Linked DNA regions of Kluyveromyces lactis. The protein of the gene in region 3 binds, or shares a complex with, the protein of the main gene of each other region. Links are inferred from orthologs where the notes say so. Each region holds a gene or a part of one and is shown on either strand. Other genes may lie near its edges. The genes, in order: KTI11, DPH1 and CBR1.

Evidence for each region.
Region 1: CBR1 (region 3) and KTI11 share a complex: the UniProt entries of both Saccharomyces cerevisiae proteins name them as parts of the 2-(3-amino-3-carboxypropyl)histidine synthase complex. The link is inferred for Kluyveromyces lactis from reciprocal best matches to the Saccharomyces cerevisiae genes CBR1 and KTI11.
Region 2: CBR1 (region 3) and DPH1 share a complex: the UniProt entries of both Saccharomyces cerevisiae proteins name them as parts of the 2-(3-amino-3-carboxypropyl)histidine synthase complex. The link is inferred for Kluyveromyces lactis from reciprocal best matches to the Saccharomyces cerevisiae genes CBR1 and DPH1.

The regions. Positions count from the first base shown.
Region 1 is NC_006041.1:1,816,843-1,818,992, reverse strand, and holds KTI11 (Kti11p), read left to right. Parts: upstream 1-1,303; coding exon 1,304-1,552; downstream 1,553-2,150. Other genes in the region: RPS8A (40S ribosomal protein eS8), read right to left, coding at 1-15; KLLA0_E20417g (uncharacterized protein), read left to right, coding at 2,011-2,150. UniProt on the Saccharomyces cerevisiae protein: Required for the first step of diphthamide biosynthesis, a post-translational modification of histidine which occurs in elongation factor 2.
Region 2 is NC_006042.1:373,080-376,441, reverse strand, and holds DPH1 (2-(3-amino-3-carboxypropyl)histidine synthase), read right to left. Parts: upstream 1,853-3,362; coding exon 584-1,852; downstream 1-583. Other genes in the region: Golgi transport complex subunit COG6, read left to right, coding at 1-527; Hsp90 cochaperone SHQ1, read left to right, coding at 2,196-3,362. UniProt on the Saccharomyces cerevisiae protein: Catalyzes the first step of diphthamide biosynthesis, a post-translational modification of histidine which occurs in elongation factor 2.
Region 3 is NC_006042.1:2,559,385-2,562,238, reverse strand, and holds CBR1 (cytochrome-b5 reductase), read left to right. Parts: upstream 1-1,338; coding exon 1,339-2,184; downstream 2,185-2,854. Other genes in the region: JHD1 ([Histone H3]-lysine-36 demethylase), read left to right, coding at 1-1,026; HOM3 (aspartate kinase), read right to left, coding at 2,493-2,854. UniProt on the Saccharomyces cerevisiae protein: NADH-dependent reductase for KTI11/DPH3 and cytochrome b5. Required for the first step of diphthamide biosynthesis, a post-translational modification of histidine which occurs in elongation factor 2.

The DNA.
Region 1 (2,150 bases), on a different chromosome or scaffold from region 3:
ACGAGAAATACCCATTTTGCTTTACTGTAGATAAAAGCTTTAGTAAAAGATGTTAGTAAATTTTTCTTTCGTTTGATTGCCGTTAATTAGCTTTTGCTTGTACTTTCACAGAGTAGTTATATAAGATAACTTCAGATGCCACCAACGATGTTTTCTCTTTGAGTTAATTACTTCACAAATAATTTCGCCTTCTTGGTTGTATACTATCCCGTACTTCCCACCTTCGATATTAGAAAGCCGCTTCTTTACTCGTATGAATCTCCTCAGTTCGCTAGTTTTTTGCTACACCATAACGGACTTCCCACTGATTATTCCTTGGTAACTGTCATTCACCCTCAGTGATCTAAAACATTTTCTAATTCATTCCATCAATTCAAAACTCTTTCAAATATATCTAAACATGTAATCGCACTGTTCTCTCATTGTATTGCATCCGCTGGTTACTCCACAAAGCACAATAGTACCCACGTATAAAACATACTATTTGACCTGGCTTCTTGACCTCTTCTTGTATTTCAAGAACTATCCAATACAATAACTATAGAAGGTAACAGTATATAACAGTATACAACAATTTTGTAACTTTTCACTAGATGGAAATCAAAGTTGTTCTTTCGACAAAATGGACCACACTGCCGAGTATTGGACTGCCAGAGGGAACCAGCTCGCCCAGAGAAAGGGACAGAGAAAGCGTGAGAATGGCCAAAGGTGAGCTGGAGGAGAGACTCCTGGGGAAAGATTCTGCCTAGGTGGTAGATGGAATGTTGCTCTCTGGGCAGACGGGCAGGGATATCGACGGCAGCCAGAAACTGAATGAGTGGTGTGGGCCAGAGCATTCTGAGGCCAGAGGGGGTTTACACCGGTAGTGAGTGGCTTGGGACGGCCTGGCTAACCATTATGGTATTTGTCTGTTTTAAAAATACTTATTACCTTTTTAGGTATTAGTGAAAATAAATGAAATTGAATTATGTATGGGTGTAAAATATATGTCTGGGTTGTGATAGTCCCGAAATATCACGTGACTTCTTCAAAAGAACCAGTCCTTCTTTTCCCGGTTTTCTCAACAAGTTAAAAAGAAAAACTGAAACTTTTGACATGAAATGACAATTGAGTCAATCATTACGCTCATCGCATTATGTTTAATACCTATGTCTTCATACCCAGTGCATTCAATATTCTCTAACCTAAGGGTACGGAATTGGAATAAACTTTTGGTCAACCTGGTGCTGGCATATTGAAGAGAGAAGTGACTACTAGAAGTTAACTTAAAGAGAAAGAATTAATTATTAATAGTATTAGAACAATGTCCACTTACGATGAGGTTGAGATTGAGGATATGACTTTCGACCCAGATACACAGATATTTACGTATCCTTGTCCCTGTGGTGACAGGTTCCAAATTTCCATTGATGATATGTATGACGGAGAAGACATTGCAGTTTGTCCCAGTTGTTCGTTGATGATCCAGGTGGTTTTCGACAAGGAAGACTTGGTGGAATATTATGTGGAAGCAAATCTGGAACCACCGGGTAAAATTGCTGTAGCTGTGTAAAATATTTTTGCAGCATCACCCTCGTCATTTATCTGCATTAGTTTTGCATGGTTATACAGAGTGTGTTCTTTTAGTTTGTTTATGGTTTTCTCACCACTCTTCAAGCACCGCACTGTATATAATTTCATTCTAGGGATGATTTATCAATCCTCTGGCAAGCTCCACTATCACACTTCCATCCGCACTGGACAGTCATTAAATTCAGTTCTTACCACATCATGCATATCGTTCACAAGTCCGTACTATATACCCCGGATCGTATATATGTTCTCTGTTTTAAGCATTTTCTGTATTATCTATTGTTTCTCGTATTAAACTAAATTTCATTTAAAAAAAGCGTCAATTAAAAGAATTAGAACGGAGTTTACACAGACTTCCGCTACCATGACCCTTAACACAAGGATGCTTACCACTTCAAGCCTTTCTGGATAAATTCATACTGCTGTAACTCTTTTACCATGGCGGAAGAATTGTTAAATAAACACGATCCGAAGTTGGCATATGTGGTGAAATATAATCATGATTCACCAAACCCTAGGGAATTGGCTTCCCCTTTAGAGATGAAAAGAGTCGCTAGGCCGCTAAGACATATCCATTA
Region 2 (3,362 bases), about 2.2 Mb from region 3:
TGAAATCAAAACTAGGTCCCTTTCACAGCACCATTTTTTCATCTGATTACGGCAAAAGCGTCTTTTCGAAACTGGAAACGCAGTATACATTATGCGTTACCAAGTTAAAGGAAACAATGAATAGCTATCTGTTCGAATCAACGGGTATGGAATTGTACTTTAATCTCTTCAACATGATTTTCCCAATTATTTCTGTGCAAGATGAGCTTGATTACGACATGTATCTTTCGGCGGTTGAGAACCCAATCATGAAATTAGCAGTTATTCACGACAATATCCACGAAAAATTGAACACCTATCTTCCATTAGCAGTTTCTGATTTTCAAGATGTAAAATTATTCAATTTGATGCCACCAGCGGTTGAAGAGGACATTGTGTCCACCTGTTTCGGAAATTTTATCAAATTCTATAAAGTGTTCAAAAGCGTTTTGAACAAAATATATCCGGAAGACGAAGAAATGATAATGTCGACATTAAACTTTACGACTAACGAAGTTTCCACCCTACTAGGTGTTGAAGATAAATAATTAAATAAACAAATGTGATGTCCCAGATTGTAATTCGATATAATTAATGCATTTACTTAGATAGTTACGTCGTCATGGTTTGGGACCTTACCTCTACCATATCCGTTAATATGATAATAATCCATCGGGTAATATTTCTCATTGAACATCCGGTCGTTTTCAAGCATCACGTTAGTTTCGTACGGTGTTAGTAATGGTTTATTGAAAGCATACCCCCAATCAATGGACAACCTTGGGCAGGCAACTTGAACAAAGGCATCGATATCATCAAACATTGCAAGCTTTTGTGGGAAAATCTCGCTGAGAATAATCTTTACTACAGTCCTTCCGGAAGCCTTGAGCTTAGTTTCGAGATTTTCAACTGTTGCTAGATTACCTTGTCTACCTAACGCGCCAAGTATCAAACCAACTTTCTTCGAACTGCGAGCTTTATCAATGGCAGATGCTCTTACCTCTACCAATTGCTTCTGATCGTAACGTTCTCTGGTGAATCTTCTATTATAGGGATCATATCTGAAAGCAGGAATTTCAGGGTTATGAATCATGGCCGATTCTAAATGAAACCTACCATCCCCAACATAAACCATCGCATCTATTTGTTCCTTGTTTAGTCTTTCAGAAGTACACCCAAGAACTTCACCCTTCGAAAGTGGTTTGATCTGAGGGGGGATGATATATAACATGTGTTCCTCCGACTGCAACAATTTGTCCTTCATACTATGGATAGTTGGATTAAACTGAATTGTTCCGAATGCAGCAATCCGTGAACCTCTTGGGAAGTTCTTCTGTAACGTCTTTATTAGATGTGTCTCATCAATATTGATAGTGACAAAGATGTAAAGTACCTTGATAGTAGTAATATCGATCGGAACTAAGCAGGAATGTGCATAATGGACAATGAAATCACAATCCAACGATCTTGCTGTATAGTCATCAATACAGCATGCACCATAAGAAACATCGCCCATAACCACAATCTCACACTGACAGAACTGCTCCAAAATATCACTTATCACCAAAGAGTATATGAGCAACCCTTCAGGCATTTGAATAGCAACACGCTTTGCTTTGTGCTTTCTAATGTTCCATACAGTTTTATGTATTTCAAAGTTATAGTTCGAGGGAAGAAGCTTGATAGCAGCATTTAACTCTTCGTCATTTAAAAGCTCCGGCGGTATCTGATTAATAGCATGACGAATGTTAGTCTTAGGCTTGATTTTCTTCACTAGCTCAGTGGTTGATCCCGAGGGATCACTTTCTTCTGCAGCTTTTTTGATACCAACAAACCTTCTTCTAGGCTTTTTCTCAACTTCACCCATAGTCATCACAAAAGGCGCTATTTAGCAATTGGAGCACAACACTTGCAGTTAAATGGTGTCTGGAACAGTAAAACCTAAACCGACTCATCTCATCTCATCTGTTGGTAATTCTTTTCAAATATCCAAAGTTGGAAATTTTTCTTTCTTTTCTGTAATCGTCTAAGTAATTTCTGATGACTGTAATTCTAAAAGGTCAAGGTATGTGCCACTGAGATGGGATTATATGTCCTTTTTAGTTGCTATAAACATAACTATCTGAATTGCTAATTTGACCACCCATTAATTTCAGAAACTATACAAGAAGTAACTTGGTACCGGAGTTTCGTATTTTACCGGTATAGTGTTCCTAATGATAACTCCAAGATTTACTGTCACTCAGGATGATGAATACATTTATGTACAAATTAAGGTGTCAAGCATAAGGTTTAACAGTGCTGGTGTAGAGGTTGTAATAGATGGTTGTATGTTTATCTTCCATTTGTCGCCGTATTATTTGAGGTTGAGATTATCAGATGAATTGGTGGAGGATGAAACTTTAAATACAGTGGAATATGATTCCAAACAAGAGAGCATCAATTGTAAGATTCTGAAGGCAGTTAAAGGTAAAGAGTTCAAGGACTTAGATCTCGCTAGCAAATTATTGGCAGCAAAGAATGAACCTAAAGTGACAGATGGGCCGTTGATTCAAGAAATTAGTAATGAGAAAGAATCAATTGCTGATATTCGAGAAGAAGGAGAGCATTTTGATTGGGAAATCAAACAAGAGGTTCAAGTAGATAATACACCAACAACGAAATACGGTTTCGATAATCTTTATACAGGATATATTGTTATGTCCGTTGCAAATGGCAATGACATTAACGAATTGGATGATCCTGAACATACTTCTCCCGAGAACAGAGTCAAGGAAAGATTGAAGAAGGAAAATTTGAAATTTGATCCAGAGTACTATGCTGCTGAATATATAACCATAAAACAGGGCGATGAAGAGGAAATCCAGATTAATGGCATAAAAAGATTGCTTGGGTACCTTCCTCCTCTTTGCGAAAGGTATCAGCAGTGGTTCGAAAGGTCAGACAATGAATCGAAGGAAAGAAATGTATCTTTTCCTGTGGAGTTCACCGAAGCGGAACAGACTCAGATGCAAGACCACATTCCTAAAAAGAAGTACTTAATAAATGACGTTAAAAGCCAATATCTAACGATATTATCAATATTATATTCTTACACTTTTGAGCAGATCGAAAATGAGGGACAACATACAACTGAAAGCCAATGGACAATCGGTAAATTGACCCCACAGATCTCAATGTTGGACCAACAGATTCTTCTATCCGAGTCTTTAATACATTTCTCTCAAATCAAAGGTACCATAGTAACAGGTATTAGAAGAGCTCTCAGCTATCCGTTGCATCGTAACTATGACCTCTGTATCAAAGCATGGCAGTTGGCTATCAAGCTGTTACTTGGAGGGAAACGTTTGGTAATAAAAGCGTTATTGGATATCCATGAACTA
Region 3 (2,854 bases):
AAGGCGATCAGCTCGTCAGAATTGGAATCTGATTTCCAAATCATTAAAGTACCATTAAGAGTATCCGATCCTGCCGATAGTGGTATGTATGTGATTTCAGCTAATGAACTAGGTCTTGTCGATTCGAAAGATCATGTTAAACTTAACGTGGAATATCTAACAAAAATCATGGGGGATGATTATCCATTAGACGTTATGGATGTTCAGACTCAAATGAATGAGAAATGGACACTTTCTCAATGGAACGAGTACTATTCTCATACTAGCCCTTCCGATAGAGATCGTATTAGAAATGTTATATCCCTGGAGGTAAGCCATGTAGAAAGTTTCAAAGATGGGATACGACGTCCCAATGCTGTGAATAATAACGATTTGGTTGATATAGTTTGGAATTTTGGACGTACAGAGACCGACATCGAACGGCCGAAAGTTACCAAATACATATTAATGTCCGTGGGTAACGCATATACAGACTTTCATTTGGATTTTGCTGGAACTAGTGTCTATTATAATGTAATCTCGGGATCAAAGAAGTTCATCTTATTCCCACCGACAGATTACAACTTGAAGAAATACAGAGAATGGTGTGACAACGATAATCAGAATGACATTTTCTTAGGAGATCAGCTAGAAGCAGGTATCGCAATGGAATTGACCGAGGGTAATTTATTCATGATTCCGTGTGGATACATTCATGCCGTGTATACGCCTGAGGACTCGTTTATCGTTGGAGGTAATTTCCTAACATTAAGAGACATAACTACCCAACTAAATGTGGTAGAAATTGAACATCAGACAAAAGTTCCAAAAAAATTTACTTTCCCGCAATTTGAATCGGTTATGGGAAAGACATGTGAATGGCTATTGAACTCTGATCATATTCAATCGATATCATCGGAAGATATTGAGAACTTGGTCAAATACCTCTCGTCATCTAACATCAAATATAAACCAATCAATTATCAGAGCAAAAAAGAACTAATAACGGAGCTAAAGAATAAAATAATAAAATTTGAACACACTTAATCCTCAATATCTTAAGTACTATTATGCAGGGAAGCTAGCGCAGGTTACTGCACTCTATTCTGTCCATCCCATCATTCTTTCCTAAGTAGTTTTTTAGCCTTACCCTCTCTTTAGTGTGGTTTAAATGTTTCCTTTCTGAATGAAGGCCAACATGGAAAATAAGATTTTTTTTGGATGTGAGGATTCAATCTGATGAGCAAGGTACGATAGCATTGATCATTGGGCAATAAACGCTCTTATATTGTACCAGTTGTTATATTTGAAAAGATATAGTGTATACTTTAAAATAAGACGGTTAGCCTAACCTCAAATATGGTTCCTGGGAAGTTCATTTTCACTGCGACCTTTGTGTTACTGTGCACTATCATTGCCGTTGTTTTGGAATACCAATCAAAGAAGGATAAGCCAGTGCTAGATAAGGAGAAGTTACAGGAATTTCCATTGGTGGCAAAGACAGTGTTGACTCATAATACTGCTATTTACAGATTTGGTTTACCAAAGTCTACACAGGTATTAGGGCTTCCAATTGGTCAACATATTTCTGTTCAAGCAAACATCAATGGCAAGGATATTTTAAGGTCTTATACACCAACTTCGTTGGACTCGGACGCCGTCGGTCACTTTGAACTTTTAATTAAGTCCTACGAAAAGGGTAACATTTCAAAGCATTTTGCACAGCTCAACATTGGTGACAAAATTAAGGTACGTGGCCCAAAGGGTTTCTACCATTACCAACCTAACATGAATGAAGAAATCGGTATGATCGCTGGTGGTACTGGTATTGCTCCAATGTATCAAATTATGAAATCAATTTTTGCCAACGATTCCGATAAAACCAAGGTATCTTTAGTCTATGGTAATCAAACTGAGGAGGATATCCTTTTGAAGAAGGAATTGGACGCATTTGTTGAAAGAAAACCAGATCAATTCAAGGTTTATTACTTGTTAGATAAGGCTCCAGAAGCTTGGACTGGTGGTGTTGGGTATATCACCGTTGATACTATGAAAGAACGTCTTCCAGCTCCAGCTGAAGGCGTCCAACTTTTGGTGTGCGGTCCGCCTCCTATGGTTTCATCTATTAAGAGAAATGCTGTCACTTTAGGTTACGAGAAAGCTAAACCTATTTCTAAGATGGGAGACCAAATCTTTGTATTTTAAGACAATCAGAATACATATCGCTGGTTCAGTATTATGATGTAAGTAAAATCTTTATCCAACCTGTAAATTCATTATAAAAGACGGGAGAATGTCGGTAATTTTTTTTTTCTATATTGTATCATTACTTAAAAGACTCTAGCTCCGGCACCTATATCATCCAAACGTACTGTTAAGAGCCTATTAAACTATGTTAAAGAACATCTTTGTGCAAAAATGCCTATCACAAGAACATCATAAACTACTTCTTTCTATGGAAAATAGTTTCCTTTCTTTATTTTTTTCGGTCTATTGATTGATCTAATCAACATCTATAAAGACATTTGCTTGATTTGTTCCAACCTTTCATTCACTGCTGATTCAAAATTTTCATTCTGCGGAGAATCTAATAATTTTGCATGAATAGACTGAAGAGCTCTCACTGCATTGCTCTCATCAATGACACAAGAGATATTAATTTCATTAGCACCTTGAGAAATCATTTCAATATTAATATGTTGTTCAGCTAAGGTTGTAAACATAGTACCAGCAATACCAACAAATTGCTTCATCTGCTTACCGACCAGAGAGACAATTGCCATTTTCTTAATAACATCGACTGTACCTAGTCTCTTTAACTCTTCAACAGCACACCGTAAAGCCTTTAGGGAATCTGAATCAGGTACAGGAAGGG